Arabidopsis thaliana: one gene and its partner. The protein of the gene in region 1 purifies or fractionates together with the protein of each later gene. This does not show direct contact. Each region holds a gene or a part of one and is shown in the gene's direction. Other genes may lie near its edges.

What was found.
Region 2: the proteins of RPN12b (region 1) and PAE2 fractionate together in Arabidopsis thaliana (co-fractionation; one large-scale study listed by BioGRID). This does not show direct contact.

What each region holds. Positions count from the first base shown.
Region 1 is NC_003076.8:16,813,048-16,816,563, reverse strand, and holds RPN12b (regulatory particle non-ATPase 12B), read left to right. Parts: upstream 1-1,814; coding exon 1,815-1,919; intron 1,920-2,050; coding exon 2,051-2,394; intron 2,395-2,476; coding exon 2,477-2,729; 3' UTR 2,730-2,999; downstream 3,000-3,516. Other genes in the region: AT5G42050 (DCD (Development and Cell Death) domain protein), read right to left, coding at 1-142, 223-934; ABIL4 (ABL interactor-like protein 4), read left to right, coding at 3,477-3,516. UniProt on the Arabidopsis thaliana protein: Acts as a regulatory subunit of the 26S proteasome which is involved in the ATP-dependent degradation of ubiquitinated proteins.
Region 2 is NC_003074.8:4,762,384-4,767,146, forward strand, and holds PAE2 (20S proteasome alpha subunit E2), read left to right. Parts: upstream 1-1,640; 5' UTR 1,641-1,840; intron 1,841-1,943; 5' UTR 1,944-1,980; coding exon 1,981-1,994; intron 1,995-2,126; coding exon 2,127-2,208; intron 2,209-2,400; coding exon 2,401-2,481; intron 2,482-2,773; coding exon 2,774-2,887; intron 2,888-2,981; coding exon 2,982-3,083; intron 3,084-3,394; coding exon 3,395-3,453; intron 3,454-3,549; coding exon 3,550-3,652; intron 3,653-3,746; coding exon 3,747-3,812; intron 3,813-3,905; coding exon 3,906-3,998; 3' UTR 3,999-4,226; downstream 4,227-4,763. Other genes in the region: ATPMEPCRC (pectinesterase family protein), read right to left, coding at 4,522-4,763. UniProt on the Arabidopsis thaliana protein: The proteasome is a multicatalytic proteinase complex which is characterized by its ability to cleave peptides with Arg, Phe, Tyr, Leu, and Glu adjacent to the leaving group at neutral or slightly basic pH.

The sequences.
Region 1 (3,516 bases):
AAAGCATTCAACTCAATGTTTGTTCCTCCGAAGCTAGCTGCCTCGTAGATTCCATGAAGTTGGTGAGTGGAGTAGTTGTAAAGAAACAGAGGAAGTCCTGGAGTTATCGCTCTAACCGAGTCCCTGTATCTTGGTGGCAATCCTAAACAATTTCCATCCCCACAAATCAAAACCAAGAAGAAACAATCGAAACAGTAAGAAGAAAGATGTGGTGATGAATACCGAAAAGCTGGCGTTTGAGATTCTCTTCCATGGTATCGTTGTTGCAGACAAAGATGTAACCACCAATGGTTTCGTTTCTTGGCAAAGCTTCTGCTGGAGGAAGAGTCTTAAACCTCTTGTCCAAACCATTGTTCTTGTCGTCTTCGTTCCTCTGGTTATTATTGTTCTGCTGATTCTTTCTGTTCTTCTTCCCACCTTTCTGAATCTGATGATCTTCATCGATTCCTTTGTTCTTGTTGTTGTTCTTTAGATTGACGTTGTACCCATACTTCTTCATCGACGTGTAAACCCCTTTGTTGAAATCTCCGTTAACGGCGCTTGACGGTGAGTAACCGTTAACGTTAACGTTGACTGAGTTGAATTTCCACGTGTCGTTGAACGGTGAGTTGAATTTGTCGATTGGGTTTAAATCGACGGTGGATTTTGAACCCACAGGTCCGAATCCTAAACCCATGTCGTTGTTTGAACCAGAAGACTTCCAGTTCCAGTTGGAATTGATGTTGTCGGAAGTTGTCTTCTTCTGATAATAGTCGATCTGGTTGTTGTTCTTGTCGGTGGTGGCGGCTATGTCTAAGTTTCGACGCTCTTTGAAGACAGAGTTTGTGCTCCAGATCGAGTCGTTGAGAGACAGATTCGCTAGATTCGGTGTCTGAACTCTCAGCTGGTCGCTGAACTGCCAAAAAGATTGCTGATTGTTGTTATTATACTCCATCTCTAACTCTCTGATTGATCTGGAAAAATCTGATTTTTCGATCTGGGTTTATCGAAAGTTGAAATCTTTTTTGCGATTTTTGGTGAGAATTGGGGTTGGTTTTAAGTGGAGAGAAATTGGTGAAAAATGGGTGAGAAATATAAAGAAAGATGAAGAAAAAGTTGTAAGCTTTTAATTGGAGCAACTGTGTCATCTAAGTAGAAATTTCCACGAAAGTCACAATACCATTCTATTTTATTTTTTCAAGGTTGCGTGTGAATCTGACAAAGTTGGATGATTAAGTGAAAAGTAATTTATTAAATAAGGAATACTAATAAATACAAGACACAAGTACTTCTGTATTTATAAAATTACACACCAATTAATTATGTCAAATTTACCATTTAGTACTTCTGTCTGAGCTTTTTTTTTTGTATAAAAATTTGGTTAAGAAGAAAATTGCGATTTGCGAGTGAATGAGCATGTAGCAGCAGAGACGCGGAACAATTGCAATTATGACGTGGCAGACTTTTGAGAGGAGATTTATTTGTGCCGATAGTAACAAATATCTAATTTTAAAATATTGTTTTTTTCAAAACTAATTAATTTTATGTTTTGAAAATTTGGGTTGATTTGTCTTAGAGGCTAAGGATTGTGGACCAAACACCAAAAACGCGTTGACGAGAAAGACAGTGAGTGTGTCAGCATCAAGTTTTCGACTCTGTATAACACGTATTAAAATTCCCCGGAAGCTTCTATTGGGTTACATTCCCCACTTTAAGCCCATTCAATTACTGATTCAACAGGCCCATGTACGGCCCAATTAGAAAAGGCAATCTTATTCTTCAATTCTTCTTCTTCCTGAAGCCAGTTTGACAGAGAAAAATTCATAGAGAAAGAGATGGATCCGCAACTAATGGAGGTTTCACAGCAGTTCGAGAGGTTTAAAGCTGCGTTTATAATAAAAGATTTCGATACCTGTTCCAGTCTCTTGTCTCAGCTTAAGGTACTGTTTCCTTTTAGCCCTAATTCAATGCGGATCAATAGATAAAACCTTGAATATATCAATGTCAAAGTTTAATATAGATTTGATTTATTAATGAGTAGAGAGCCTAAGTTGAACCAATTGATTTAGAGTTGTTTGATCATTATCTTATATCACTCTCACTGAATGCATTGCTTTTGCTTACGTGTGCTCTGTTTTTTCTATGTACCAGGAATCGTATTCCGCCATCTCCGCAAGAGAATCTAATCATGGGGTTGAACCTACTGAGACTGCTTGTTCAGAACAGAATAGCTGAATTCCACACAGAACTGGGATTACTTTCATCTGCAACCTTGGAGAATCCTTGCATCAAGCATGCGGTGGAGCTCGAGCAATCCTTCATGGAAGGTGCTTATAACCGTGTGTTGAGTGCTAGACAAACCGCACCTGATGAGACTTACGTCTATTTCATGGATCTCTTGGCAAAAACCATTAGGTAAATAGGCTTCATTTGTCATTTGACCCTTTCTCTTCTTTAGCTCATTGCCGTGACTTAAAACATCATTGTTTATCTGTAGAGATGAAATAGCTGGATGCAGTGAGAAAGCATACGATCATCTCTCAATCAGTGAAGGTTGTAAGATGTTACTCTTCTCGTCTGATCAACAACTGTTAACATATGTGAACGAGGAGCACCCGGAGTGGGAAGTTAAAGACGGGTTAGTTGTCTTCCAAAAAACCAGAGAAACCGCACCGTGCAAGGAGATACCGTCACTTCAACTCATCAACCAGACTCTCAGTTACACCAGAGAGCTCGAGCGTATCTTGTAAATCCCATTCAAGTGTTACCATTGTTTGACTTACACGCCTCAGTCATCACTAGTATTTTCCCAAACAGTTGATTTGATTCATCAGATAATTTAGCTCTGTCCTTTCTTTCTTTTGTCGTCTGGTTATAATGCAACTTATATGTTATGGTCACATGAATGATTTCTGGCTCATAAAGGCAACTCCATTAAATGAGTCCGTGATTGAATTTTGATTCTTGTGTCCCACTGCTTGTAAATATATTATGTGTATTATTTTTTTTATTCAAGAAAGAGGGACAAGAATATCAAAATTGTTGAGAAGTTGTTTTCTCTTTAATTAACAAAATGTTAAATAATTCTTCTTCTCTACTTTCTGCTCCATTAATTTTCCAACTACAAATCTTTCTTCCGATTTTTTCTTGACTTGTGTATTTAATAATTGATGGAATCATTAATAACTTATAAATTAATTTCTTAAAAAGCATTTTGATAATTGAAAAGTGTGCTCTAAATACAATATTCCGGGTCATTATGTTTTGATTTGTCGACTGCTTTTTTCAATTTTTAAATCCTCGTAATAAATTTAATATATTATTTTTCAGTCTTTAATGAAATGTAATTTGGTATTATTAGTTACTAACATTTAAAAGAAAATAATTGGCTTGTAAAGAACGTATGGAATGTGTCGAGTATGTGTGTATAGTGTCTCCACTTGGATCTTTCTTACTTACTCCATTATCTTCTTCTCTCTCTTTCCCTCATCTCATTAATGGCGAGCTCTACATCTTTAGCGATAGTTCTTCATCAAT
Region 2 (4,763 bases), on another chromosome or scaffold:
TTCCGATGATTGATTGAATCTGAGTTTAATTAAGATTTTTTTTTAAGTCAATTATATATAGACGCAAGGTGAAGATAAAATAATAGCCAATAAGAGTGGCAATCTCATTAACAAGTTTGGTTGTCTTTTTCGTGGGGTTTGGTTAGTTCTTCTAATGGTTTCGTTTTTCTTCTTACGTTTGATTTTTGATGAACGTCAATGTGAAATCGTTGAATATATCTACACATATACATGTGTATGTCTAGTCAGGTGTATTTTTATTACATAAATTTTTATAAAACTATTATTGGGATTTCTTACTCCGTTAATGTTTAAAAAATATTACTAAGAAAACTACTTAGATTCTGTAACACTTATATTTGAGAAACAAAATGAGTTTTATAACCCGATTCTTTGACAAAATAATATGAGACAAAAACAAATAATTCCCCAACTGAAATAGTTTATAGACTTAAGACATTTTACCTTCCTTCTGACCTAAAAAGGTAAAAAAGACATTTGACCTTCCATCGAAACAATTAATCTGTCATTACATTAATTTCAAAAACTTGCGTGCTATTAGTTGCACTTGCATTCAACCAATTTTTTCGTTATGTTGAGATAATATTAATATTAGAGTAAAAGAAAAACTAAACATCGAGCAAATTAGTTGTTACAGTGCTTATCTGCCGTCCAATGACGAATTAACTCCTACTTAATTAAACCGTGGCACGTGTCGATATATCAAGCGTCATGATAAGCTTTTAGGAGCATTTTTAATTGCAAAATGACAATAATTGGTGTTATATTATTGCTATGATTTAGACAAGAGACTAATTGTAGGCTAAACATGGAGACATCGTCGTACAGTTTCTCGGGAAAAAAGCTGTCTCTTCTTAACCACAATAAGGTACGTTCGAGTCAGAGGCTCCGAGCAATGATATTTATTTCGCTGGTTTGATTACTAAAGAAATGCAAAACAATACTATAATAACAACGAATATTCCTCCACCAAATTAATTAAACTCTTGCGAATCTTTATTTTGTTTTGTTAAAAGAATAATACAACAGATTTATACAAGTTTCTGAGTCATCAGCAACTTTGGAATCCTTATAATAGTTTATGAACATTTTTAACCAAAAATACATATAAATGGTGGAACCATAGATTAGAAGGGTTGGTCACAAAATGTTGGAGCAAAACTTCCAAAATCGCTTTTAACAATTTTTAAAAAGACTTCCAAAATCCATTTTTTTCTGTCGGTTAAACCAAATTTAAATTATAATTTCGATAGAGAATGTTTAGATCGATCACCCGAGTCGATAGTATATAAATTGTAGTACATTGAATGAAAAACTATAATCAAATATTTTGTGGTCTCTGTTTCAGGAGGTTGGGAGGTTAAATACGTCACCAAAGTTTTTATTAATTTTCTAGATCGTCGTCCACTTATATCATCGCGGAGTGGTGGCCTAACTTATCAATATCGTACGATCTCCAAATTTAATATAAGCAAGTTTGATTATAAAATTTGATACAGAAATTATTTAACATTATCTTCATCATCACTTATTTTATAATTAACAAATACTAGAAACATACGTCTACGAGTTAAAGTAATGGGTTTAGGCTAAAAGATTTGGTCAAGAAGTATACAGTAGCCTAATTGAAGGTCCGTTTAATGGCGTATGCTTCTCATATTAGACTTAAGTTAAGGCCCGTTTGATAAGATATTTAGGCCCATTAACAGCCCAAGTGTTAATCAAAGTCTAACTTGTTACTCAAGAGTGCTTGTCTACGGGAGCTAAAAAGGAACTGGGAAGAGTTTGTTTCTTCGATTCGTAGATCAATTCTCAGCTGGTAAAGTTTTTTTGCATCCATACAAGTTCTTAGTTACTTGAATCGTTTCCTATTTTTTTCATTCGATCTGTAATGTTTTTAGGGTTTAATAACTTTTGTGCAGACATTGAGGTTTATCTCAGATCGAAATCGAGAAGAAGATGTTTCTCACTAGGTACAAAATTGAGCATTTCTTCCTTCGATTTCTTCAGAATCGTGTATCACCGTTTCTGGGAAAACTTCGAATCCAACGATTATGGTGCTTGTATTGATCAAGTTTTTTTTTTTTTTTTTTTTTGTTCTTAAGGACTGAGTATGACAGAGGAGTCAATACATTTTCTCCTGAAGGTCGTCTCTTTCAGGTTGAGTATGCCATTGAAGCTATCAAGGTAATTTATAGATTACTCTAGCTGCTAATAGCTTCTCTAGAATCTAGTAAAGTTGGGATGTTTCTTTGTTTGCTTAAACGAATTTGGTTACTTAATCCATTATTGTGTTAGTGTGCTTTGTTGGGGAGTAGACAATAGATTGGGCATGCCCTTTTTGTATCCATTGATGGGTTTGTTATGGTTTGATTGCAGCTTGGTTCTACTGCTATTGGTGTAAAGACGAAAGAGGGAGTTGTTCTTGCAGTCGAGAAGCGTATTACTTCGCCTTTACTGGTATAGTTTCTCTCCTTGTATCTTCTCCGTGTGACTCCACTGTTTTATTAACATTTGTTATGTTTAGCAGTTTCCATCTGGTTGATTTGTTAGTATCTAAGAAGTTTTCTTTGCTTTACTATTTCCGTGCCTTTATGATTTTGGTACACGCACATTATGCTACAAATTTAGTCTTGAATTGGCATGAGTGATAGAATCTGAAAGGTAATATTAGTATGAATTTGTAATACCTTTTTGAGTTTACCCTATGATGGTAACTACTTTCTCAGTCTCTTTTTTATCTTTTAAGTAGGAGCCGAGTAGTGTTGAGAAGATTATGGAAATTGATGACCATATAGGTTGTGCTATGAGTGGTCTGATTGCTGACGCGCGAACACTTGTTGAGCATGCACGAGTAGAGACCCAGGTGAGATCTCAGTTTCTGACTTTCTGTTTCTCATGGATTTGTTTTTACATCAAAAGTTCTTTCTGTTACCAACTGGTTTTATTATGTTGAGCAGAACCACAGGTTCTCGTATGGTGAGCCAATGACTGTAGAATCTACAACACAAGCTTTGTGTGATCTTGCTTTACGGTTTGGTGAAGGAGAGGAAGAGTCAATGGTAGTAATCGCTCTATTACCTTTATAGCATAGGAAGAGTCAATGGTAGTAATCGCTCTATTACCTTTATAGCATAGGCAATGTTTAGTGGATTTCTCTTCTTTCTGCTTGGAAATTATGATCAATTATCAGAGATAAACCCTTAGATTGGGGTTTTAAATTTTTGTTGTGAATTAATAGATATAACTCTTTAGGAACCACCACTATAACAATCCCTAATCTTCCATAATGTTTTAGCAAATATTCTTTGGTTCTTTACTGTCTCCTTTTTATATGAATGTACTTATGCTCGGTCTCACAAACTTTTTGCAGTCTCGTCCATTTGGAGTATCCCTTCTCATTGCTGGGCATGATGAAAATGGACCGAGCCTGTAAGTTGTTATTCATTTCGCTTATATCATTTTCCAACTGTGTAGATGATCTCAAATTGGTAAACAACAAATGTTAAACAACTCAATCCTGTATAGGTACTACACAGATCCATCGGGAACATTCTGGCAATGCAATGCAAAGGCAATTGGGTCTGGCTCAGAAGGAGCTGATAGTTCTCTCCAAGAGCAATTCAACAAGGTACTAATAACGTGATTGTTTCACTGTCCCAAGCGCATTACAGAATCTATTTCTTTTGAAGTTTCCTTGAACTCCAATTTCACAACTCTTACAGGATATAACTCTTCAAGAAGCTGAAACAATAGCTGTATCTATCCTAAAGCAAGTAATGGAAGAAAAGGTATTCAATTGATTACAAGTTTGTTTATTAAAAATCCCATTAAATCCCTCTCCGGTTTAGCCCTTTTTGATACTCTCTACTTTTCTGGTTTAGGTGACTCCAAACAATGTCGACATTGCCAAAGTCGCACCAGCTTATCACCTCTACACTCCTCAGGAGGTTGAAGCCGTCATCAGTCGTCTATGAAGAAATAAACCGCCATTCTCTTCCTGTTATCTTACCTTGTCTGTTCGGTAATTTATCAGGCTTCTGTCTGCTTCCGGTTCTCTAAACCAAAAATTAGTTTCGTTTAATCAGATAATGGATTTTATCGAGTTGAGTTTTATTGAGCTTTCTATCTACATTTTTTTGTCGTTTTCAACAAGAAGTTAAAACTAATAAATATCTGTCCAAAAGAAAAAATCAGAACTTGAAAGTTGAAATCTATTATGTACATATCATCATTGTACGTCGGAAAAAAAATCTCAATTATAAGATAATTATATATTTATTATCTATATAACCACCCTCACTGAATTTAACCCAAACCCCATTAAGAGAAGCGCTGATCGTGAAAACCTATCTTTAGCTAAATCTTTAAAAAAATAAAATATATTTCTTTGAGGTTACAAAAGAATATATTGTATTTTTTAAACATATCTTTAGCTAAATCTATAGAAAAAATAATAATAATTGAAAACTTAAGAAAACAAATAATAAGTGATTAAGTTTACAGAGGGGGCATTCCCATAACCGCCTTTGGAATCCAATTATCATCCCCTCGGAGAAAATACTTAACCGTAAACCTTGCAGCCTCATCATCAGACGAAATGGGCTTATACCCAGCCCATTTAACTCTCTTGGATAGATCCGACCCAGGACCTGAATTCTTGTACTCTCTATAGAATATAGTACGTGGAGGCGGGTCATAAGTCGAATTCCACGCAATCCACCCAGCGGGATTCACGAACG